Oreochromis niloticus: one gene and its partners. The protein of the gene in region 1 purifies or fractionates together with the protein of each later gene. This does not show direct contact. Links are inferred from orthologs where the notes say so. Each region holds a gene or a part of one and is shown in the gene's direction. Other genes may lie near its edges.

The links.
Region 2: the proteins of stip1 (region 1) and irak1 purify together in Homo sapiens (affinity purification with mass spectrometry; 3 studies listed by BioGRID and IntAct, with this or other methods). This does not show direct contact. The link is inferred for Oreochromis niloticus from reciprocal best matches to the Homo sapiens genes STIP1 and IRAK1.
Region 3: the proteins of stip1 (region 1) and ccdc117 purify together in Homo sapiens (affinity purification with mass spectrometry; 5 studies listed by BioGRID and IntAct, counting the BioPlex papers as one, with this or other methods). This does not show direct contact. The link is inferred for Oreochromis niloticus from reciprocal best matches to the Homo sapiens genes STIP1 and CCDC117.

What each region holds. Positions count from the first base shown.
Region 1 is NC_031975.2:9,398,174-9,405,970, reverse strand, and holds the start of stip1 (stress-induced-phosphoprotein 1), read left to right. Parts: upstream 1-4,794; 5' UTR 4,795-4,938; coding exon 4,939-4,947; intron 4,948-7,116; coding exon 7,117-7,326; intron 7,327-7,423; coding exon 7,424-7,565; intron 7,566-7,797. Other genes in the region: spata22 (spermatogenesis-associated protein 22), read right to left, coding at 1-283, 585-774, 991-1,128, 1,918-2,023. UniProt on the Homo sapiens protein: Acts as a co-chaperone for HSP90AA1. Mediates the association of the molecular chaperones HSPA8/HSC70 and HSP90.
Region 2 is NC_031984.2:5,048,834-5,056,586, forward strand, and holds the start of irak1 (interleukin-1 receptor-associated kinase 1), read left to right. Parts: upstream 1-4,732; 5' UTR 4,733-4,973; coding exon 4,974-5,085; intron 5,086-7,753.
Region 3 is NC_031977.2:18,803,341-18,810,405, reverse strand, and holds the start of ccdc117 (coiled-coil domain-containing protein 117), read left to right. Parts: upstream 1-3,983; 5' UTR 3,984-4,135; intron 4,136-4,555; 5' UTR 4,556-4,620; coding exon 4,621-4,763; intron 4,764-4,913; coding exon 4,914-4,964; intron 4,965-5,069; coding exon 5,070-5,339; intron 5,340-5,973; coding exon 5,974-6,117; intron 6,118-6,476; coding exon 6,477-6,720; 3' UTR 6,721-7,065. Other genes in the region: tcn2 (transcobalamin-2), read right to left, coding at 417-478, 577-695, 772-952, 1,041-1,215, 1,306-1,478, 1,908-2,060, 2,344-2,507, 2,616-2,805 and 1 more. UniProt on the Homo sapiens protein: Facilitates DNA repair, cell cycle progression, and cell proliferation through its interaction with CIAO2B.

The sequences.
Region 1 (7,797 bases):
AAATTTCCAGGCGTTCTTCTGTGGCTCCGGAGCATTAGCAGACTGCCTCCTGGGTGGTGGAACTGGAGGAGGAAGAGCTCTAGACTGCTGGGAATACTGATGCGGGGAACTGGATGTTCCATAAGATGACTTCCGACCCATCTGAGATAACCCTGTATGGGGCACTGGCTGGCTTTGTCCACTCTCGCTGCCGCGAGGGCCTTGATATTTGCTCTGTCTGAAATTGATGACAGAGCTGGAATCCTGCTGTCCCAGTGCGTTGCTGGGTTGTCTCATCACTGAGCTGAAATGAAAGCCCAGCATTCAACAAACAGTAGTCCTGTGACATGCTTTAAACTTTTAAAAAGATAACATCTGAATTTCTTTGGTCTCTGTCAACTAGGCACTAATTTAAGTGCCACAGCTTAAACAAGAACTTTGAAGTGCAATGATAATATCCATGGTTATGAAAACTTTTCCACATGTCATTATCACAGACCAATTCATCAAGTTAAATACCATGTGGGTATATTTTAGCAGTTTACATACATGAGCTATAAGAAAAGAGAGAAGCTACAGTGTAACCAATGATCAGTTAAAGACACCTTTTCTCTTTAGCTTTGTATGGATGAGGTATGGGTCCATAGGCTCTAGTTGAAGGGGTAGGTCCAGGGGCAGGTCTGTTGCTGCCATACTGCTGGGCTGGAGCAGCCTGTGAGTTGCTTTGTCTGTTCCACTGTTGGCTTTGAGGGACACCAGAAGGGGAACCTGAGGCCTGGTAACACCCAAAGGCACCTAAAGAAAAGGTCAATTCTCACAGGTAAACTATCACAACAAACAACAACTTCTGTCTGTAGATGTGACGGGTTATATAAATGACTTTACAATGCTAACCAATATTCTAAAAACATGTAAAGTCAAGCATACCTAAAAGTATGTTTAATTTTTCTGTGGATACACTGACATCTAGTGTCAGAAATAAAGCAGAAGCTTAGAAAATGAACAGTTCACCTGCTGGGTTGTGAGATATGGCTGAGCCGGTGTTTGGTGTGTACTCGCTGTGAGAAAAGAATTCATTCTCAGAGGGAAGAGCGGTCAAAGGAACCCTGTTTCGTTTCTTCTGGTTAAAGAGCGGCACAGAGAGGCAGCCTGGAGAAAACGGCAGAGGAAAGACCAGTGAACGAACCACAGCGCAACATGATGCTTAATGACACCACATACTCACTGACTGTTCATTATTTAACCTATTTAACTCCTCATGTACAAATAAACTCCACAGCTTGCCACATTTATCCACACACAAAGGCTCTATCACACAACCTGGCTGGAGTCAAAGAAATCAATGACTATGAGGTGGAGATGAATACACTGGTGTGCAGACTGTGAAGTTATTTATTTTTTTACCAACCTGATGTAGGCCTGGCCGCCTGGTTTTCCTGTCTCTTCATTGTACTTGCTTAGTTTGCAGTTTATTTAACTGGCAGGACTTTTTTAGCAGGGAAAACAAAGGTAAAAGAAAAAGACTATACGCTTGGTTTTCTGTGTAGTGCTGGAGGTTAACTAACTTGGAAAGTAGTAAGCTAAGCTAATTTATCTTGCTCTGGCTCACTAGCTAATAAGCTAGCTGTAATTTTTAGACATGTCATACAGTTACTGCCTGAAAGTTCAAAGTGTCGTGCTTTTACAGAACCAACCCATTTTCTGTGAACATCTTACATAAATGACCAGGTCGTTGTTGGTGAAAACTTGACAAAGTATTACAAAAAACTAAGACAACGGAAGTTAAAATTCAGCACCTCTGAAAGCGCCAAAACTTCGCGGTGACAGGTGATGCCTTCACGGTCTATAAGCAAGCTTGGACTTTGTAAACGCAGCCTCGAAATAACGGCTGGTCAAAAAATAATTACCGTGACATCTATATTTTTTGTGAGCTATTACCTTTTGTTTGTGATGTTTTTTGATCATCTGCTTTTGGCTGTTCTCTTATACACAAGAGGTCGCCACAGTGGATGGATCCACATATTTCATTTACACCGAATGTCATTTCCGATGCAACCCTCCCAGGGATTTGTATCCCTCCTTAAACCGGGAATATTTCTTGTGTTAAGCACTGCGGTCCTTTTTGGCAATATTGTATTCAAAATGATTATACATACAGTAGCTGTGGTCAGAATTTTAAATGCAATCAGGAAAGGTCATGAATGTCATGGTAATTTGTGGTTTTTAATCATTTCTTTGAACTGTTCTTTTTCCAGCATCTCTCTTTTAATGACTTTAAAAAGTTTTAAGTTCTAATTTATTTGGGATTTTTTTCTAATACACACTGGGTCAAATGTATACATACAGGCTCAAATACAAGAATACACCCACCCCAATATGGGTGAAACGTTTGATAGCTGTCATCAAGCATCTGTCATAATTCTGGCTGAATTTTTAACCATAATTCTTGGGATAATTGGTAGAATTTGTTAAATTAATTAAATTTAAAGTCATTAAAGATGTATGTAGTGCAATAATTCCACTCTGGAAAAACAGTTCAAAGAAATCATTAAACGTGCAAAACTATTATCACATTCATGAGTGTATCTTCCGACCACAACTGCACATGACATAATTTTAAAATTCCAGGTTAAAAATAATTCTAATAAAAGCAGGTGATATTTTAATTGTTATTGTTTGACCGTCGCCTGATGCACATGTTATGTGTTATTATACCCATAATTATAAATAATAATATAATGATAAATTAGAACATTTGCAGCAATGATTAAAAAGCAAACTTTTTCTGTTATGTTTCGCTTCAGAAGCTTCAAAAGTTCACATTTATGCACTATAATTCTTGTCAATCATTAACAATAAATAGAAATCAAAGTTTAATTTGAGCTAGATAAAAGTCAGTCTGACCTTAGGCTGTCAGGCTGGCCTTTATTTAACCAACTTATATTACTTCTACAGACATAAATTACATTACTGCACATTCGTTAGGAAACTATAACAGAAATATGATGACTGCAGGTGTTTTGTCCTTTAAGCAAAGTGAAATTTTACATTCATGTTGTTAAGATCACAATAGTTGCAACATTATTATCCTTACAACAAAAGATGAATATGACTGAATCCGGGTGTGCAGAGCATGACTGCAGTGGAATATAAAGCAAGTCACGACTCTGTGAAGGGAAATAAACATGCAGATTATAACATGATTAGCATTTCACACAAGCGGAGACAGAAACAGTAGGATGTGTGTGTATTTGTGTGATAACAGCAATCTGTTTACCCCTGTCTTCCAGTAGATGGGGGAGTGAGACAAAGAGCAAACTAACAGCCAGCGGGCTTCCTATGTTACTTTTTAAACCTACTTCCACACACAGCTGTCATTCATTTCTCTTAGTGTGCTGTTTACCACAGGAAAACATGGATTTCTCATCCTTACCCAAATCCAAAGAACTAGAATGTACAAAAATGTGTGTTATAAGCGTCACCTCATTTACTAAAGTCTCTGCCATGGTGAAATGTGGATGCGATCAGTCCTGGTGGTGCTTCAGGAGATGAAAATCAAATGAAAATGAGGCCATGTTTGGTTGAGTGCATAAGAAAAGACGTGGGCAAAGGTTTACAGCAGTGCCATCTCTGCTCTTGGTTTTGTGTAGTGCCTGAGGCTCAATGTGCTGAGTTCGAAGGCCACCTTTTGATCTTGGCTTCTATGTTTTGACTTTTCTAGCTTTGTGAATCCATAGCAACAGCAGCACTGATGGTCTATTCAGAATGTCTTCCACGTCCTCTTGATCCATTGAGAAACTCTTTGATGAACAGATAATTTGTGAAGCTGAGACTTCCAGGTGAGAAAAAAATACCTAATCATTTCGGCAGAGCTGCTGAAATTATTAGGATTTTTTCTGGGATTCCATAGAGACAGTGACAGTGCTAATGGCATAATCAGCTATAACAACTCTCTATAGGCAGAGTCTTTCTGAATAAAAATTGGGATGGTTTATTTCCCTGCAAAAGTCCACTGGTCCAAATAGTTAAACAATTTAAGAGTAAAATGGCAAAAGAGATTTCATCAGTAGCAGGAATGTCAAACATAAAGCCAAGGGGACCAGTTTTGGCCCAGCAATGGGTGTGCCATAAATTTTGAGCTTTTAAAACTGTGTGTTTCAAAAATTTTACACCTTGTCCAGCTGATAAAGAACTCCCCCACACAGGCCTGTCAGGCACTGAAAACATAAAAATACTAAAAGGGGGGGGGGAGCAGGCCCCAAAGTGTAAAGAACATGAAATCCTTTATGTAGAATAAGTTTAGCATTTTGCTTTCAGGACTACAGCAACTGGACTCTTCTGTTCCCAAATAGAATGTTAAAAGATGAGGCAATTACAACATAACAAATCCCAGCTTCACTGTAGTCATGTTGATTGCATGCACATTTTTTCTTGACCTTTTCCATAGCACCCCAGCTTTCTTCTTCTTCTTGGAAACAGGAATCTCACACAGTCCAACCTAATCACTAAACAGCAGACTCATTAACTTATAGTCTAGTGCAACTGTGGGTGAGTAACCCTGAGATTTTGTCTTGGACATTGTCTGCATGTCGTGTTTATCTGTTTTAGTGTGCCAAAAATAAATAGATACAAACATCACCGGCTTTGAATAAGTTGCTGGTCTAAATAATATTTTCGGGGTTAATATGTTTATGCCCTCACTTCCAACCTCTTCCTCATCTCTGTGCTGCTCAGAGAGCCAGTAACACATCTTGTGTAACGTAGCACCGGGTTTTCGCTCATCTTCTGGAAGTTTCAGCTACTGTGCTATATATTATTGCTCAGATTCCCCTCACGGGTGAAACGCTCATCTGGAAGCTGATTACGGATTTTCTACCTCCTAAACTGGCAACCTGCATGTTGTTGAGTGGGAGGCGCTAGTTCACAGTAGTTTCTGGAAAGGAACCTCATGCTTGCACCATGGAGAAAGTGAGTGTCCTGCTACTTATTTAATAATTAAAACTTTCTAACTATCATATTTAAGACATATTTGTGTATTCCTTTGAGTTCTTTGGGAAAAAATTTATTTACAATAATTTGGAGGTCGGAGAGGTTAGTCAGCTCTTTATCCTGACCGCTCACTGTTTGCTAGTTAGCTTGTTAGCTTAGCGTAATCTCGTTAGTAAGGTGTTGTAGTCATTTGGGCTTGCCGTTTTCACCCGTCACAGAACATTTTGACAGCACTAAACTGCAATGTTGCTTAACTTCATATTTCAAAAAGTGCAAGTTAACTTGAATGTTTATTCGCGCAAGGTTGTGTCTCACTTATGATAGCACACGACAAGGTTAGCTAACTGTTAAGCTAGCGTGCAGCAACTTAATTTGTCACACTTGCTTTTTACGTAAAATTATCCCTGTAAGGTTTGCCTGCCGCTGTTGCCAGTGGACAGTGTAGGCTCGGTGTTGTAAACCAGCCTTTTAGCCTTCTGCAAACATGGGCAATATACAAGTTACCAAATCTCAGTCAAACGCTATCTTTGGCTCACAACGTGAATTTTTATCAGTATGTCAGGATAAGAAAAACAGAGAGTCTTGATTTTATTAAGAAACAAACAAACAAAACCTTTGTGACCCCTTTATAAAACGAAAGCAGACGACTGTGAGCTTTTGCAGCAGTCGGTCTGTAAGCACATGCTGCAGGAGTATTTTTGGATTAGCTTCAGCGGTGCCATCGGCAGTCTGCACTCACACCGGAGGATCATTCTAGATGCACACACAGGCGAAGCTGTCATGGCTACAGCCGCATGTTGTCGTCAACTGCTGCGTCCTCTCGAACGTTCCGCATAACAGCTGCATTCACAGATATGAATGGATTTCATATCTGAGCTATTTTTATTACTTAAAAACTACTGTTGCGCTCAGACTCGGTAACCTATTTGTCCAGCATAAAATCAATAAGTGTGGTGCACGTTAGAAGTCAAAAGAGGGCACTGCCTAGTTAGAAATGTGCTGATGTTGCGAGGAATTTGTCCATGAGTTTAATTTTTATTACCTTTTTGTATTTTCTGGATAACGCCAAACTAAGAAATATTACATTAAGGATTTGACACATTGTGAAAGTAAGACTTGATGTATGCCTCAAGGTTCTTGATCAGCATTCACCATGGTGCAACACATCTACAGGTTTCATTTTCATTTTGGACCGACTTAGTAAAGATTATATGTGGATTATTACAACTATATGCACATTGTTTACACCCTAAGTACTAAAATGACTAGACTGTGATTACTTAATGCTTCACACAATGTATCCAAGTGAAGCATTTGGTCAACAACTGGACCTTGGTGATATAATCAGCTATCCCTTCCTTTAAGCTCCATAATATTTACTGAATATTCACTTTTTTTTTTTGACTAAACCCTATAGCACTGCAGGGGATTGTGATGTAGCTATGTTGTTTCAGACTGGATTAGGTCTAATGACTGCTAAGAAGAAAGTTGTGCCACATAACACTTGAAAGTTTTTTATCGTGGCTAGTTGTTAGTGGACTGAGTTTTATCAGACAGTTTTCAAGAGGAGCCAGCAGGGAGTGAGAAAACCTTTTTGGAGCAGCGTGGTGCTTCTTTCTTCTTGGCGTGTCATTGATTCTGTTAGATTCAGAGGAGGCACAGCGCGATTACTTCACAAACTGTAACAAGCAGCTTTAATTGACAAAGGGTGTACAGTATATTGACAACCTTTTTTTTTCTTTTTTTCTTTAGCATTGTCAGTATGGTTTGCTGTTGTATTCACTCTAACTTCCTGCAGAGAAAACTTTTAGAGTAATATACGTCTAGCTATCTAACCTCTGTTTTAGTTTAAAAGAAAAAAAATCATTATCTGTAACTGACACAAAAGTGGGGTCACCTTTGAGCTTGCTGTGAGGCAGGGCTTATTTTCAGGTCAATGCGGTAACAAAATAAAAACATTTTCTCTCTGCAAGACTCCTGCACCTGTTTGACACTAACAGCTGAATGATTGTCAATTCCTTTTTCACTTCTGCCAGTAGCAGCTGTGAAGGATTTTTCTCCAGTCAGGATTGTGTCTTTGTGTATTTAGAGCAGCAGAGCTGCAAAACAGAGGTTTTGTAAACATGTCTGTCTGTCTGTGCTTCATAGGCTTCAGCATTGAAAGACCAAGGAAACAAGGCACTGAGTGCTGGAAATGTCGATGAGGCCATACGTTGCTACACCGAAGCCTTGAGTGTTGACCCATCCAACCATGTCCTGTTCAGTAACCGCTCAGCTGCCTATGCCAAGAAAGGCAACTATGAGAATGCTCTCCAGGATGCCTGTCAGACTATCAAGATCAAGCCTGATTGGGGGAAGGTGAGATGTCCTTTTTTATGCCTTTGATTTGTTGACAGAATATATAGTTATTAAAATTGAGGAGACGGTCTAAAATATTTCAAATGTGATCAACCAGGGTTACTCCCGTAAAGCTGCTGCATTGGAATTTCTTGGCCGATTGGAGGATGCTAGAGTAACTTACCAAGAGGGACTCAGACAGGAGCCAAGTAATCAGCAACTAAAGGATGGGCTGCAGAACATTGAGGCCAAGCTTGCAGGTAAAGACTGGATTGTGTTTTTGTTTTGAGCTGCACAGAAACGACGCATAATTATGTCAAAAGTGTGTGAGTCACCTTTTGTTTCTGTGTGGGTAGAGGATTTTGTGATGGCTGCTGACAGCATCACTGAAGTGAAAATGCATTTTTTGAGCTTAGGTTTTCAGAATGAAGGAGACAGTCCGCTTGAGTTTGGAGTGTTTTTAATCAGACTGTGGGTAAATACTACAAGTTA
Region 2 (7,753 bases), on another chromosome or scaffold:
ATTTTGCTTTGTTCTTATGTTATTTGTATTTTGCATACCTCTGTTGCTTGTGAAGCTTGCACACAAGAATTTCACTTGTATGTGCTGTACTGGTGAACCAGCACATGTCGTGTGACAATAAAAATTTGATTTGATTTCATTTGAGTGTCTGGGCCTTAGCCTTAGAGATGACATCTGGTGGGAGCTTGGAGTAGAGCTGCTACCTTAAAGTTGAAAGGAGCCAGCAGAGATGGTTTGGGGATCTGATGAGGATGCCTGTCAGACATGGGCTGGAAGTAGAACCCAGGGGACACACTGTGGAGATGATATATGTCTTATCTGGGCCAACGATTGTCTTGGAATGACTCTAGAGTAACTGGAAAACTTGCTGGGGAAAAGACTGTCTTGAATACCCTGTTGCTGTCACAGTGACCCATCTTAACCCTTTATTTAAAAATGAAGTGAAACTTGTTAAGAGTAAAAGTTTTTTGGAGGCTTGTTTAGCACATATTAAAACCAGATTACCTGCAGAAGAGCAAAACACAAACACAATGCCCCCACAATCTGGCCGCACTGTGGGTAGACCCACACAGTCCATTACTGGCAGCCCACTGTAGCAAGTACTAGCATAAAATGAGGGCACACCTGGACCCCACTGTGGGTCTGCAGCATACCCTCGGTGTGGACCCAGGTGTGTCCCACATTTTAGATTGAGACCCTGTGGGCTGACTACCCGGCCACCACAATCCAGGGCACATTACCACCAGCAACTGGTATGGAGCGTGACTCTTAATTTTTCAATGAATATAAAACAAATCAAATTTTAGCCGCTTCCTTAAGTGTAATTTATGTCCTGGAATTGTGTCAGTCTGCATACACATTTCCGTTTGAACTGAGAGGGGTTTTCACTCACCACAGATGTGCTTCTGTGCAGTCCTCCAAAATCTCCACTATCCGTAGGTGGTGGGTCTGCCAAATCCTGATTGGTTGATAAGTGGGCTGGAACAGGGAAGAGAGCAACAGCGGAGTTCACCAGGAACTGGAGACGCACAAAGCAAACACTGAAGCTCAAAAATAAAGCAAAAATAATAAAAAGTGTCCACTGCAGACACTTTTTATTATTTTTAAAAGTGGATTTCATTTCAGCTCTTTGTAACTTTGCCCTTTTCCTGGGCTGGCTGACGGACCAACAACAGCTGACGGACCAACAACAGCTGACGGACCAACAAAGAGTGAAAGTGACCCACAGGCCAGCTGTACCACATATTTTGTATGCTTCCTCTATCTACAACAGAGTGTGCTGTAGGTAGACGGGCCATCCCCGAGCTGCCAGCGGCCTGTGAACGCATTCCCTCTGCTGAGCCATAAATTCCACTTCATTCACATGTAGTTTGACCTATCAGCGTCGACAAAAACAAGTGATATAAAGGTATAAATCAGTACAGTTCCAGCCATTAACAATTGTGAAGCTGTTTTGGAAACTACTAAACAACTTATAACCAATCCCCATCCCAAGGTCCGACCCAATAAGATACTTAAAATTAGGCAAGTCCAGTTGTTTTCAAGGAATTAAAGTAAATAATAAAAGACTGCCACATCTGTAAAAACTTACAGGCGTTCCCTCTGAGTGTGAATTTGATTTTTTTCCAGTTTTTATAAAAAAAAACACTTAACATCTTTCAGCCAAAGTGATGTAGCTGCAGGATGAAGAGCTTTCAAGGACAGCAAAATTCTACAGTGCACCAACAGTGACTGTATGTATGAATGAATGTAAACCACTACAGTGTGGATCCGCTTCCCCTCAAAGGGGTGAAAAAACCCAACAACAATAAACTCAAATCCTATCAAACAAATAAGCTGACTTGAATATATTGAAAATTGGATATTCTCTGATATCTTTTACTTCTTGCCTGTGCGGGCCTACACTGGATAAACAACAGTTTTGCCTGTTGGGGTCCGTCTGTGGGTTTTCTGTGGGCAAACACACTATGGGTTGACCCACAGAAAACCGTCATGGGGGCCCTGTGGGCTAAAACTACCGTGGCACCCGTACAGGATGACCACAGGGGAGCCAATGAGCGTTTTTCGTGGGCAAGCCAACTGTGCAACGTCATCCATTTTATGTAGTATAACATGAAACTAGTGGTCAAGCCCATAAAGTCAATGAAACCATTCACTGAGGTCACAGAGCGGGGAATCTTAGGGACATTTTTTTCACCATGTGCTTCCACTTGAGTCGCCCCCTGGTGGTAATTATGAACATTGCATTTTTGGCCAATTGTCTTTAACATGGACAATATCAGAGTCAGAAAGGAGGAAAATCCAGGGTATTGTCACTGACTAATGACCCCGTGGTGTGCTCACTTTCACAGTCATATCCACGCCTCACACGTCATGTCCAGTTTCAAAACACTAAGTTGGCAAAAACAATCTGTTTGGCTTTCAACAGTGGGTGGCGTAATGGTGGCACATTTTTTAGTCTTTTTTACCAATCTGTCAAAGAGGTAACTCAGAGAGCCAGACAACCGTTCATGCTCACGATCACACAGTCAGTTTAGAATCACCAGTTAACCTAACTCAATGCATGTCTTTGGGCTGTGGGAGGAAGCCGGAGCACCCGCAGAGAACCCGTACATACATGGGGAGGACAAGCAAACTCCACACAGAAAAGCCCCAGACTGAATTCAAACCCACGACCTTCCTGCAGTGAGGCAGCAGTGGACTGAAATGACAATTATGTAGTAGAGCAGGACCTCAGCATTGGAGGGGACCCACAAAAATTAATTTGTGCTAATTTTTAGAATTTGTCTCAATATCCTTTAGGTTGAGTAGTTTATAGAAAGTATCTTTAAAAAACAATCAAGCAAAAGCCTCAGATATGAGAGCCCAGCTGCACAGGGTGACCGTGAGTCCCAGTGATCTTCATGCAGTCTCATACCTGACGGATTATTAATCTGATGACAAAACCAGATTCTTAAACTTGGAATTTTTTCAAATATCTCCACTGAGGTCAGCAAAACTACCGAGCTTCTCTGTTTTTCGCCGAGACGTGACTCAGTCCTTCGGTTTACACGGTTCTACTTCATGCTGTTATTCTAGCTGTATGTGGTATTAATAATAACAGTTTGCTGTTGTTAATCCTTTGATACAAACAAACTGAACTGAGCTAATGAAGCATTCAGGCGTTTCATTCAACCACTTACATTCAAATAAATAAGGTGAGAAAAAGGAAGTGTGAAACGTGTGTGTGTGTGTGTGTGTGTGTGTGTGTATGTGTGTGTGTGATGTAATGCAATGCAATGCTTCACATTTGTCATAGTTAAGACAGGAAAATGACTCATTTTAGTCAAAGCCACGAGGAAATACTCACTTAGGACTTCCTGTAATGAGATGAAAGTCATATGTAGATACACAAACGAGGTCTTTACAGACATCAGTCCTGCAGGATGTAAAACAAGTATAAAATGTTGTAAGCATAAAAATTAATATAAAATAAGTTAAAATATGATGAAATCTCTTAATATATTACAATAAAGTGTCTCTTTCAGGTGACATAGCTCAATGCATTGCAGGAAACATTAATTGCATTAACATTAATTAACATTAATTGCAATGTGAAAAGGACATTTTATAACTGTAATACATCTACATGTTTTCAAAACTGTTAGTATTTGGATTCCATCACAGCAATCTCAGCACTGACCAAAATAACTGTGATTGAAATCAAGCAGCTCTAGTTCTAATAATATCCTATTTTCCGACTGATAGTTAAAAACCAACAACAACAATCTGGAGTTTGTCATGCAGGAAATTATATTTAACCAGGAAACGGTTACAGTGGAGAAGCTGACACTTTGCATGTAAGAACGACCGGTCTGATGTAATACACTGATACAAATCATGGTATAGAGAAGAGTAATACTTGGATTTTCTGGTTATTTTTGGTGATTTAATAATGAAAAGTACATTTTATGCTTGAGTAATTATCATTAACCCCCCCAAACAATGAATTTAAATTATTTTTGAATTTTGACTGTGCTTCATAAATAAAAATAATACATATAAACAATATAAATAAATTGGAAATTCGGCCAAGCAAAGACTCCAATCTGGCCCCACTGGACAGCTTTTGAAAATGTGAAGGAATACATTTACTTTTAGCTGCATTTTTCTATGTTTTACAGCTTTATTTTCCACAGATAAAGACCTCTCCCATGGTCATTAATGCTAAACCAAACTAATCAGGGAGTGATAAGAAACGTTCCTGTTTTTACTGCTACAGAAATGTCTGTTTGTTATAAAGGATGCACAATTTAAAGTGTCATTTTCTGCGAATTAACAAAAGCTTTCTATATTATTTCAGGATAGTCAATAAACTACCCAAACTTTTTTTTCCAGTAATTTTATAACTTTATGTCTTACAATTTAAACCCAGAGTCATGCTGACAGATTTTTTTCATTTGCCACGACAGCTTTTCTTTGTCATGTAGAAAAACTGAGATGTGCTTTTTTCTGTCCGTCCTGTCTTCTTTTCCTATTCCTATTCCTATTAAGACATCTCGAGGATTAAATGTGTAATTAAACTGATTTAAACTGTCAGAAAGGGAAATTTCACTGGTTTGGTCCACTTCTGATCAAATGGGGGTGTATGGGGCTCACGAGGTAAAACATTTGTTTAAAAAAAAAGAAGTGAAAAGTGAAGAAAAAAGTTTTAAAACGGTTCATTTACTCGGGCTTTTATTTTGGTAGCACGGAGCGGAAGCAGCTAGCTTATTTCAGGCGGAAGCGCTGGAAGACTCAAACCTGTAGTTTGAGAGAGTTTTTGAAGTGGTTGAATAGATTCGTTCCGGGCGGTTCTGATGTGACCCAGTGATCCAGGTCCTTGTGTGAACCTGATACCCTACAGACCGCCCAGAGTTCCTCGCAGTGGTCGCTGTCATCGGTTAGCCTGTTAGCTTCAGCGTGGATTAACTTGTAGAAGGAGTTAGGTAAAGATGTCGGGAAGAGACCCGAGGGCCGTATTGTACTTCAACCTGCCCGCCTCCGTTGACTGTGAGTTCTGCCGCATCATGGACGGGCTGTCAAACCAGGACTGGACCCGCTTTGGTGAGTCAGAACCCGAACATTGACTGAGAGCTAAAGGCCAGCAGCGTGGGGTAGGAGGGACGGTGGAGCCCACCGTTAATTGGGTGTTTCATCAAAATAAACTCTAGCGTGTTTATTCGATGTAACAACTTTCAACTTTAACCGCTGTCGTATGAAATCACTACAGAAAATAAGAATTAAACAAGCTGTGAGAGCCTCAGCTGTGATTCATCCTTCTCGGTCTGCCCTCAGGTACAGGGCTTACCTGTCCCATCTATTTCCACAGAGTTTTAAAATATATAATAATATTAATAAAATATTATTTTAGCGTGAGTGTCAGCTGAGATTAAATCAGGTACAGTTTTCTTCCAATATCAGGTCACATTTTGACTAGAGTTAGTCTAAATATAGATACATTCACCGGTGTCTGTTTTGAGGAAGTCTCTGGTAGACGTTATCTGTAAGTGCACTTGGTTAATATTGAGTAAATACGGAGCACAGGAATGTGACAGAAACTGAAATGCCTGTGTTCTGACACATAATGAAATGTGATTAGGAACAGTTTGAGGTTTCTCAAAAAATCCAGAATGTTTCTGTTTTACTGTAACCTCTCTTAACTAAGGTTGTGTGGGGTTTATTTGACTAAAAATTAGGTAGAGCTCTGTTATGTTGGTGTACTTCATTGAGTTCAGGTGGCTTGAAAAATCTTAAGTTTTCTTAGAATGAAATACACTTTTAAAGTTTTACATTGTATAAGTAGCATTTGGCGATGGTGGGGAGGAAGACCTCTGCCAGTCTTTTCTACTTAAATATAACTTAAGTTTTACAGAAAAAACGACAAAGGCACAGACTTATATTTGAGCATTAGAGAACATTCACAGCTGTCAAAGTGGAACAGTGAAAAGAAATACTAGAGCAGTTAGAGGTGGGAGAAAAGGTTTAGATGTAGGGCTCAGAAACTGTATACAGATGATGGAGCCAGGGATTGTGATGTTATTTTGAAGCCTCACCTTTTAGTGTCTGTGAAGGTTCTCAGTCATCCAGGTCATCGTAGTCAAAGGAGTTTGCAAAGAAAAGCGTCTGGACTTCTTTGAGTTGCTTGAAGATGTTTCACCTCTCATCCGAGAAGCTTCTTCAGTTCTAAGGTCAAATGGCCGAGAGTCCCAGATTTTTCTTTGCAAACTCCTCACCTTTTAGTGTTTTGGCCCCCTGCACCTCTCCTCTGATATCACCATCAGTTCGAATTTGCATCACACTCGCAGCCATCGGAGGCAGCTACTTGTGATCCCTGAGACATCCCTCCATTGTGGCTTATCCTGGTCAGTATAAGCCACAATGGCGACTCTTTATCGAATTACCTCAAGTGGCTATTTAAGGAAAATCAGTTTTTGATACTCGTTTTTGTTTTAACCATGAAGGTTGGCTTGTTGTAGCTCAAAAAAAAAGAGACAAAGTACCACTAATGTGGACTGTTCCAGCTCATATTTTTTGCTGTTGCTGGTAATTTCATTTTTGCCCTGCTGTGGAGACGGCAGAACAAGCACTTCTTTGAAATGAAATGAAACCAGTTGTTAGAACAATAAATTGCCATCGCCTGTACTTTTCCTGTTTGCTTCTTTAGTCTATGTTGGGGTTTTTTGCACCTCTTCCTCCTTGTGGTAAACTCTGGTCATTTTTTTCTGTTTTCAAACTGAAAAGCGTCAGGCCCAGTTGTGTATCCCACCCACATCAGGTGATGGAGTTGTGGTTTGCGGCGGACAGCACGTGCGCTGGTTATGTCCTTGAAATCTCTCAGACAAACTCTAATGCAACACTGTAGCACTGAAGCATGAGTCACAAGTGTTAAGCAACAGATAAAGATGTTAAAAAAATATATAAGGGCAAATGTTGCGCGCTAAATAAGACAAATAACATCACATGCATCAACATGCAGTATGTGTTGTTCAGTAAGTATTTGGAGTAATTTTTATTTTCGTGTTCTCGCCTCTGTACACTTCCACGGTGAAATTTTAAAACAATCATCAAGATGTGGTTCTGGTGCAGACTTTCAGCTTTAATTCGAGCACTTTAAAAAAAGAACCGCGCTAGCTTTCTAGGAGTTACAGCCATTTTTACCCCTCAGCTGTAAAAGGCTGATGGGAATTGTCATTGCCAGGCGGGTGGCGTGGACACCCAAGTTTATGAAAACAATAACTTGAGAACAAGGCAACGTAGGGTTTTCTAATTGATACCATGAGTCCATCTACTAAAAATCTTAGACAAGCTTGAATCTCAGTGACCTCAACCTCAAGGTCAAGGCCAGAGGTCAAGTTTTCTTTAATCATTGCATTCACAAGATTTTCAGAATGAAGTCATCTAGGATTTTCAAATTGATACCATAGGTGCATGCTAGTGATTCCTGAATATCTCTACCTTGCGAAGAGCCAAAACAAATCCTCTTTTTCCTCACTTCTTCTGGAACGCCCTAATTTCCAAGTTCCGACATCTGGATTCAGAGGTATCTGGAATGCAGCATCATGCACAGTTTTAGAGGCTCAAAAGTGATTGGACAATTAACTTGGAAGCCATGTCTTGGCTAAGGGAAGCCTGTTCCTTTGTTATTTCATGACAAACTAAGACAATAAAAGATGTTGATTCAGAGTGTTGAAATTTGCATTAACTCTCAAAAAGAGGCACAAAGAGGTGTTGA
Region 3 (7,065 bases), on another chromosome or scaffold:
TTTAATTCAAACTACATACTTTTGAAAAGCCATCCAAAAAAATAAAAAAAAATAAATTCAATTATTCAAATCAACCGTCACTGACTTATACCGTTTGTAACAATATAAAAAGCATACAAATTGTCCTTAAAAAGTCTTCAACAGAGCACAATCACAAGTCATTTTAATTGACATGTCATAGTAATTGTATTATAATCATAAAAACGTTTTCCAAAGTAAAACTACTCAACACAAACCTTGTTGAAATAGCTCTTAATTACACTTTTGTTCGATCTTCATATCTACTTAAAATGCAAACATTCTGTTAAGTAACTGTGGGATTTATTGATATATGATGCCAAGAGACAATTTAGGTCTAATCATTAGTTCATAAAGATTAAAAGTGCTGATCATCTAGTCACTGATTGGCTGGAACATCAGTAGCTCGTGTTTCTGATGGTGATCCTTTGAGCCACCTCAATCTTGAAATCGCCAACACCTGACAGAGACACAGTGAAAGCAGATCAACGAAATCCTCGTTTGTGCATCACATTCTAATGTGTGTTTGCATGGGTGTGTGTGCGCGTCTCTACTCACCCTCAGTGAGTGCAGTGCCATCTGAGGAGAGGTGCCAGTATCTGCGGTCACTTTGCCTGGCCTGCTCTCCATTCACCACACTTAAGAAAGGTCCCCACAGGCTGGACTCCTTCTCAAACCTGCCATACAGCATCGTCAGAGACTACTCACTGCAGCCAGTCATACCCAAGGTAAAATGCAATGGCATGAACTCACGTGAAGCCACGATTTTCCTCCTTGAGCAGTTCAAGAGCCTCTAGCAGGGAGCTGCCCTTTGGTACATCCACCGGGTAACGTGCTGCCGCTCCGCTGGATGTCACCACTTCCACCATCACATTCACCTTGACCTGGTTTGGTGGAACCACTGTAGGATCCAAGGGCTCAAGCACCAGAGTGTCTGCAGGAAAGATACACACATAACAATGTTAGTGGCAACAGACACAACCCAAAGTGGCCAAAGAGGGTAGAAATGATGCTGCACATACTATCCTCAGTTAGGCACTCCTTGCTTTTAACTGCCACGTAGGATGTTTGCTGGAGAGCAGGCAGAGTCTGAGAGATGGCCATGGGGTTGTGGTATGTGTTGCTTCTAGCAGCTGTCCTCATGGCCTCCATTGAGGCGGCACACTCTGCAACCTCACTGCCCATTGCTAACAGGGCCTTGAACACATCAAATAAACACACTTCAGCTGCAAAGATATTGCTCTGTAGAAGTCTCTGAAGAGAGAGAGAGAGGGGAAGGATCCTTACTTGAACTGCAAGGCCTGTGCTGAATTCATTGCCAATATGACCATCAGTCCTGCGGGAGGCTAGAAGCTTCCCCTTGATCTTGCTAAGAGCCGTGTTCAGCCCAGCAGCGTTCTGCATGTGAGAACCAGTGTCCTTCACACACTGGAGTGCCATTCCAGCCATGGCATACGTATCTGAGGAGAGAAATTGGATAAAATATTAGCACGACTGCATCATTACAGCTGTATTCAAAGCTAAAATACAAAGTGAAAAGCTTTTAACATTTTCACAGCATACTAATGTAGATGTTTAGTGAGAGCTAAGCTAGCAGTACAAGAGGTAACCGCTTCGCCAGAGCAAACTGTGGCATAGACAAAGAACTGAAAGCTAAACTGTATGTAGAGCTTCCTGTTAAATATCCATCAGGTGGCCTCAGCTTCAAACTCAATGGATTTTGATCTGAAATGTAACACGGCAGTGAATATACTCCATCATGTCATCAGCGGTGAACTAATTTATTCTAAACCCATGATTGTTAGTAGGTAATAGCAGGGTGACTCCTGCATCATTATTTCACCTTTATTTTAACAGCTAAAGACACCATTAAGGCATGTTTCACCTACCCACACTCTCAGACTCTCCATGTGTGAACTGCTCATGTTCTGCTGCTTTGATGAGCTTGTTGGTCACATGGTTGTTGACCCTGATGCCGCTCACACAGAGAGCGAGCACACCCAGGGAGTACTGGTAATAGTTGGTCAAAGGGCGGTGGGTGACTGAATGAAGGAGAGAAATGCAAATGAAACCACATTACACTGAACCACAACTTCACAGCAATGTTTGAGAAATTATGAGGCATTTCACTCTGGATGAAATTAGACAGAAAGTTACTCTATCCCTGCTAAATTCATAAACCATGAAATATGACCCCCGTCCTCTACATTAGGTAAACTCTGGTCAGATACTGTAGCACATCAAAAATGAGAGGATTGCTGAAAAATTTTATGACAACCATTGCCCTTCAAAAACTAAAAAACAAACAAACAAAAAAAACCTTACAGTGCTCTTTCTCCAGCTCCATCTGGTTCTTCAGGTGTGTCAGCAGTGTTTGACTCCTCTCGTTCACAGTGAAGCTGACCGTGTTGAGATCATAGCAGGAGGACTTTAAAGCCAGGCTGTAGAGCGCCAGCACACCAGTCACAGGCTGACTGTTAGAGAGAGAGCTGAGAGGAGGAAAAAAGGCTCAGTAGAGAACATTGGGGAGAAAGGGGACTTCATAGAAAGTGTTTAAGTTTGCATAAGTGTGTGTGTGTGTGTGTGTGTGTGTGTACCTTTGAATGTCATTGTGCAATTCATTTTTTAGTCTGTTGAGGTATTCGCTCTCCTTGGCGAGGTTGTGTTTTTTGGAAAGGCGTAATGCCAAGTGGATACTGGGGTTAGGAAGTCCCTCCTGGCTCTCCAGAGAGCGAAGGAGATTCTTGTTGAGTGAAAGCAGCAGCTCAGTGTTGGAGCCATCTGTATCTGAAATTTAACTTTATAGGTTAAAAAAAAAAAAAAAGTCACCTGACACAAACGAAACCTATATAAGTATCTCTGCTCTGCTGCTGTTGACATTTACATGAACTTTTGAGAGTGTTGCAAAATCACAGCTGCTGCATCAGCAGTTGTGACAAACACCATATGCACTAAGTTACAGAATCATCACTACTGCGTTCAACACCCGCAGCAGATCAAGGCCAGAGAGGAGCCACATTCCGTGTTAATCCTGCACAACTAAGTAAACAAGCAACACGATGCATCACTCACATTCATTAAATACGCAATTGCAACATCTGTGAATGTCCAGACTCGTCAGTAAGTGTATTTGCAAACTGCGTTGCCTCAGAGTTAATGCAGCTTTAAAAAGTTTAGTATAGTTAAGTTTTCTTTTCTTGTTTAATTAATTTGTAAAAACGTCTTTTTAAAGTCGGCCTACTTACCACATGGTATGGTAGAGGCAAAACCAATACCAATCAGTGCTGAGATTATCAACAAAGTTATCATTCTGGATAACCTGCTGGTTAAAACATACAAAAAGAAGGCACACAGACACACAGAAAATGAATCAACTCGGCTAAACAGTTCAAGTTAAAAACAAAAACAGTAAAAGTAAAACAGATATACAGTCATTGCGGGTGATAAAAATGCAAGGAACTTTGAGGAAGGAATATACAAGTAATAGACAATAAATATAAAAATAACTGATTTATAGTGACATGGATTGTGTGCCAGCATCACTGCAGACAATAAGTATCACATGATTATAAAATCAAAGTGTTGTTTTGCCATATCCTATAAACAGCAGCGTGTTACCTCCACGGATCGTCCAAAGTGAGGAATCACAGCCGAGTGACGAGACGAGCTGGGACAACAGCTTCTAGTGTTTCACTGTCACATGACTGGTCATTTGCAATCATAACGCGAGAGGGTCCTTTTAAACGTCAGCTGACAGGAAATTAAGAAAAAAAATCTCTAATATTAAAAAATAAAATGCCAACACCATCTTGTCACTAGAGATCACTTTTACATTTCCACGACAACGTTTTTTTTTTGTTTTGTTTTTTGTTTGGTCTTGTTTTTTTCTTTTTCGGAAACTACACTTTGTAGTACATCCACTGGAACTACATTTCCCACAATCCCACTAAACGTAACATGCGCACTTTCTAGAACCCTGACGACTGTTCTGGCGCGACTCAGTATTCAGAATAAGGAGCTAACGTCAGTTTGACCCAGCCTATCGTAGAAATCCACAGAGCACGGTGACAGTTAATTTTGGATCTTTTTCTATTCGACCGGGGTATCACGCGATTAGGTTAGTACGACTTTAGCTTGTAAAAACTGTTTTTGTGTACAAATGGGAACTCTCTAAAGGAGAATAAATAAGCTCTAAACGGAGGCGAGCTAACTAAACACATTTGTCAACAACAAAAACGGCAATGGGGCAGGGCAGCTGCACAACTCGCTCTTTAACGCCACATATTTTTGCTTAACTTGTGCAGAGTGGCTGTTCAGTGCAGGGATGAGGCTGTCGTGTGCTTACCTCTCATCTATTAATAACACAGTTTTATCATTAACATGCTAACGGCAGTAGCATTATAGCTAGCTAAATAGGAGGCAGCTAGCGCGATGTAAACAAATAACATGTGCGTCATGTAGTTTGTAAAAAAAAAATTAAATTAAAAAAAAAAACCTTTATCAGCTTAACTGACTGGTATCACTACTGATCTTCCAGATCAAAGTCGTTAATAGCTGCTTACCCGCGTAGCTCTTCAAAAACATTTAATCGATTGGGCCAGCATGCATCACCCTGCGCCCTCAAGCAGTGAGCTGAGCTGCCTGCCAGCCATGTATTCCTTTTCAGGCCCCACAAGCCTTCCCGACTTCGACCTCGGACCTTCAAGTATGATTGAGGATGTACAGACAGCGACAGTCTCTAACAGGTATGTAACTGTTGCACTGTGCACTATTTGTTTTTTTTGTTTTGTTTTTTTTGTTTTTCACCACATTTGTCAGACACGCTTTGGCTTAATTTGAAATATACTTTTATTTCTGAGCCTGACACAGGCATTTCCTGTGCCTCTATTCCACAGCAACTGGGAGACTAGATGCCTCAGGAAGCACAGGAGGAGAGCAGATGATGAGTAAGTGAGATATGAATTTTTTAAAAAAAAGAAGAAGAATACAAGCATTTGGTAATGCTTGTCTTAGCCCTACATAAGTGTTAAACTATATGATTGTTTTATCAGGGGATGCAGTGCCAAAAAGAGGAGGTTAATGTTTGAGGCAGAAGTTGCTCCTTCAAATTTGAGCACTAGCACAGAGTGTGACTGGTCTGGCGCAAACAGCTGCTCTCCTCCGTCTGCACAGCAAGCCTGCCCTGCGGCTCCACAGTCCTGCACAACATCTAAAAACACCACTTTGCCGCAGACCTCTTCTTCCCTGTTCCGACTTGAGACAGAGAGCTCCTGCATGGAGATCGAGGCCGCACAGAGAAAACTTCAGGAGATAGAAGACAGGTATGCAATGTATAACATTTGGGAGAAAAAAAACAGAACAAAACACAACTGGTCATTTGTTCACAGCAGCTGTGTTATGTTGTGTATTGTCTTTAACCTCTGCATAATAGTTTTATCTTCCTTTGTAAAACGAGTTGATTCTATTGCCAGTTCACCAACCCACATTTGTGATTGGTTAGATGTTGCCAAGCCCTTTCATGTAAACATGCAGGGGAAACATTGGGTTAGCTTAGAGATTTTGTTTCATATGCTTGCTTATCCTGATTGCGAATGATGGGTTAAGTGAAACCAGGTAATGGAGACATAATCCTGGGTATGTTGTACAGGCCCCGAAGCAGGTTTTGGTGTGTAGAATAAGTAACCATAGTGATGTAACCCAGTAAAAAGTTCTGAAGTCTGAGTATTCGAGGTCAATCCTGAACGTACCTCTGTAAGCACAGGCCTCTGTTTATAATGTGCATACAATGTATATGTCAGGCCGACAGACCACCCTTCAGACCCTTCACCCTTCAACATTTCCATTTATATCATTCAAAGTGGGGTTTTTTATCTGGCATTCAGTGTTGGTGAAGGTTTTGGGGGTTACATCACAAGAAAGAGTGACAACCCACAATGTACTATTGATGTATCACAGAATAACACTGGAGGACGATGAGGATGAAGATCTGGATGTAGAGCCAGCTCCGAGACGCCCGGTGCTGGTGATGTCTGACAGTTTGAAGAAGGGTCTGCAGCAGGGCATCAGTGACATCCTCCCCCACACAGTAGCACAGTCTGTGTATGTTCTCTTTATTTTGTTATTGGAACATTTAATGGTGATTTTTAAGTAATGAATAGAAATGGATATACTTTATTGTCCCTCATTAGGGAAATTCAGGTGTTCTAGCAGCAAAGCGACAGGCAGATGGAGCATGCAGATTCACACAAAAGAATATAAAATAAAAAGCAAGAAATAAGAGACTGTACCGGGAAATTTACAACATAAGAAGGAAAAAAAGAAAAAACATTAGTAATGATGTGAGACGGACTGCAAATATTGTTTTCAACTGGCAAGAGTTTCTTGATTAAGAGTCAGAGCAGTTGGACTTCTTTAGGGATGCTAATATTTGTGTCACCTTCGTCTTTCTCACACTTTAGGAGCCGTTCCTGTATGGAGCTGGTGCTATGGCGGCCACCAGAAGATCCCTTCAGTCAGAGACTTAAGGACTCATTACAAAAACAGCGCAAACAACAGACCGCGTGTCGGCAGACTCCAACTCCATGTCCATCTCCCAGTCCTCACAGTCCCCTTAACCCCTCAAGTCCACCAGCAGACACACACTCTCCTCTGTACAGTTTCTCTGTGGCCCACAACTCTGGGGAGGAGGAGATGGAAATGTAATAGTGTTTCTCCACAAAGTGATGCCAAAATGAAAGACTGGACACTTGTAGCCAAGTGAAAAGATTTAAAAAGACGTGGAACAACTTCAGGCTGGTCAGTTTGCCTTTATATGGATATTGTGAAGTTTTGAACAGTTTGTGAAGCGCATCATTTTCTTTGCAGCAATTTATGTTTTCTGACTTTAATCCCATTCAATCCCACTTGTAACATAATAACTGACATAATCTCCAAGGTCTGTCAACAAGTAGCCTTACATAATACTTCGCAGTATTAATGTTTCCCGTAAGAAGTGAAATGACTTTTATGTTGCCAAAGCCTGGCCAGCACTACGCTGATGTGTTGTAA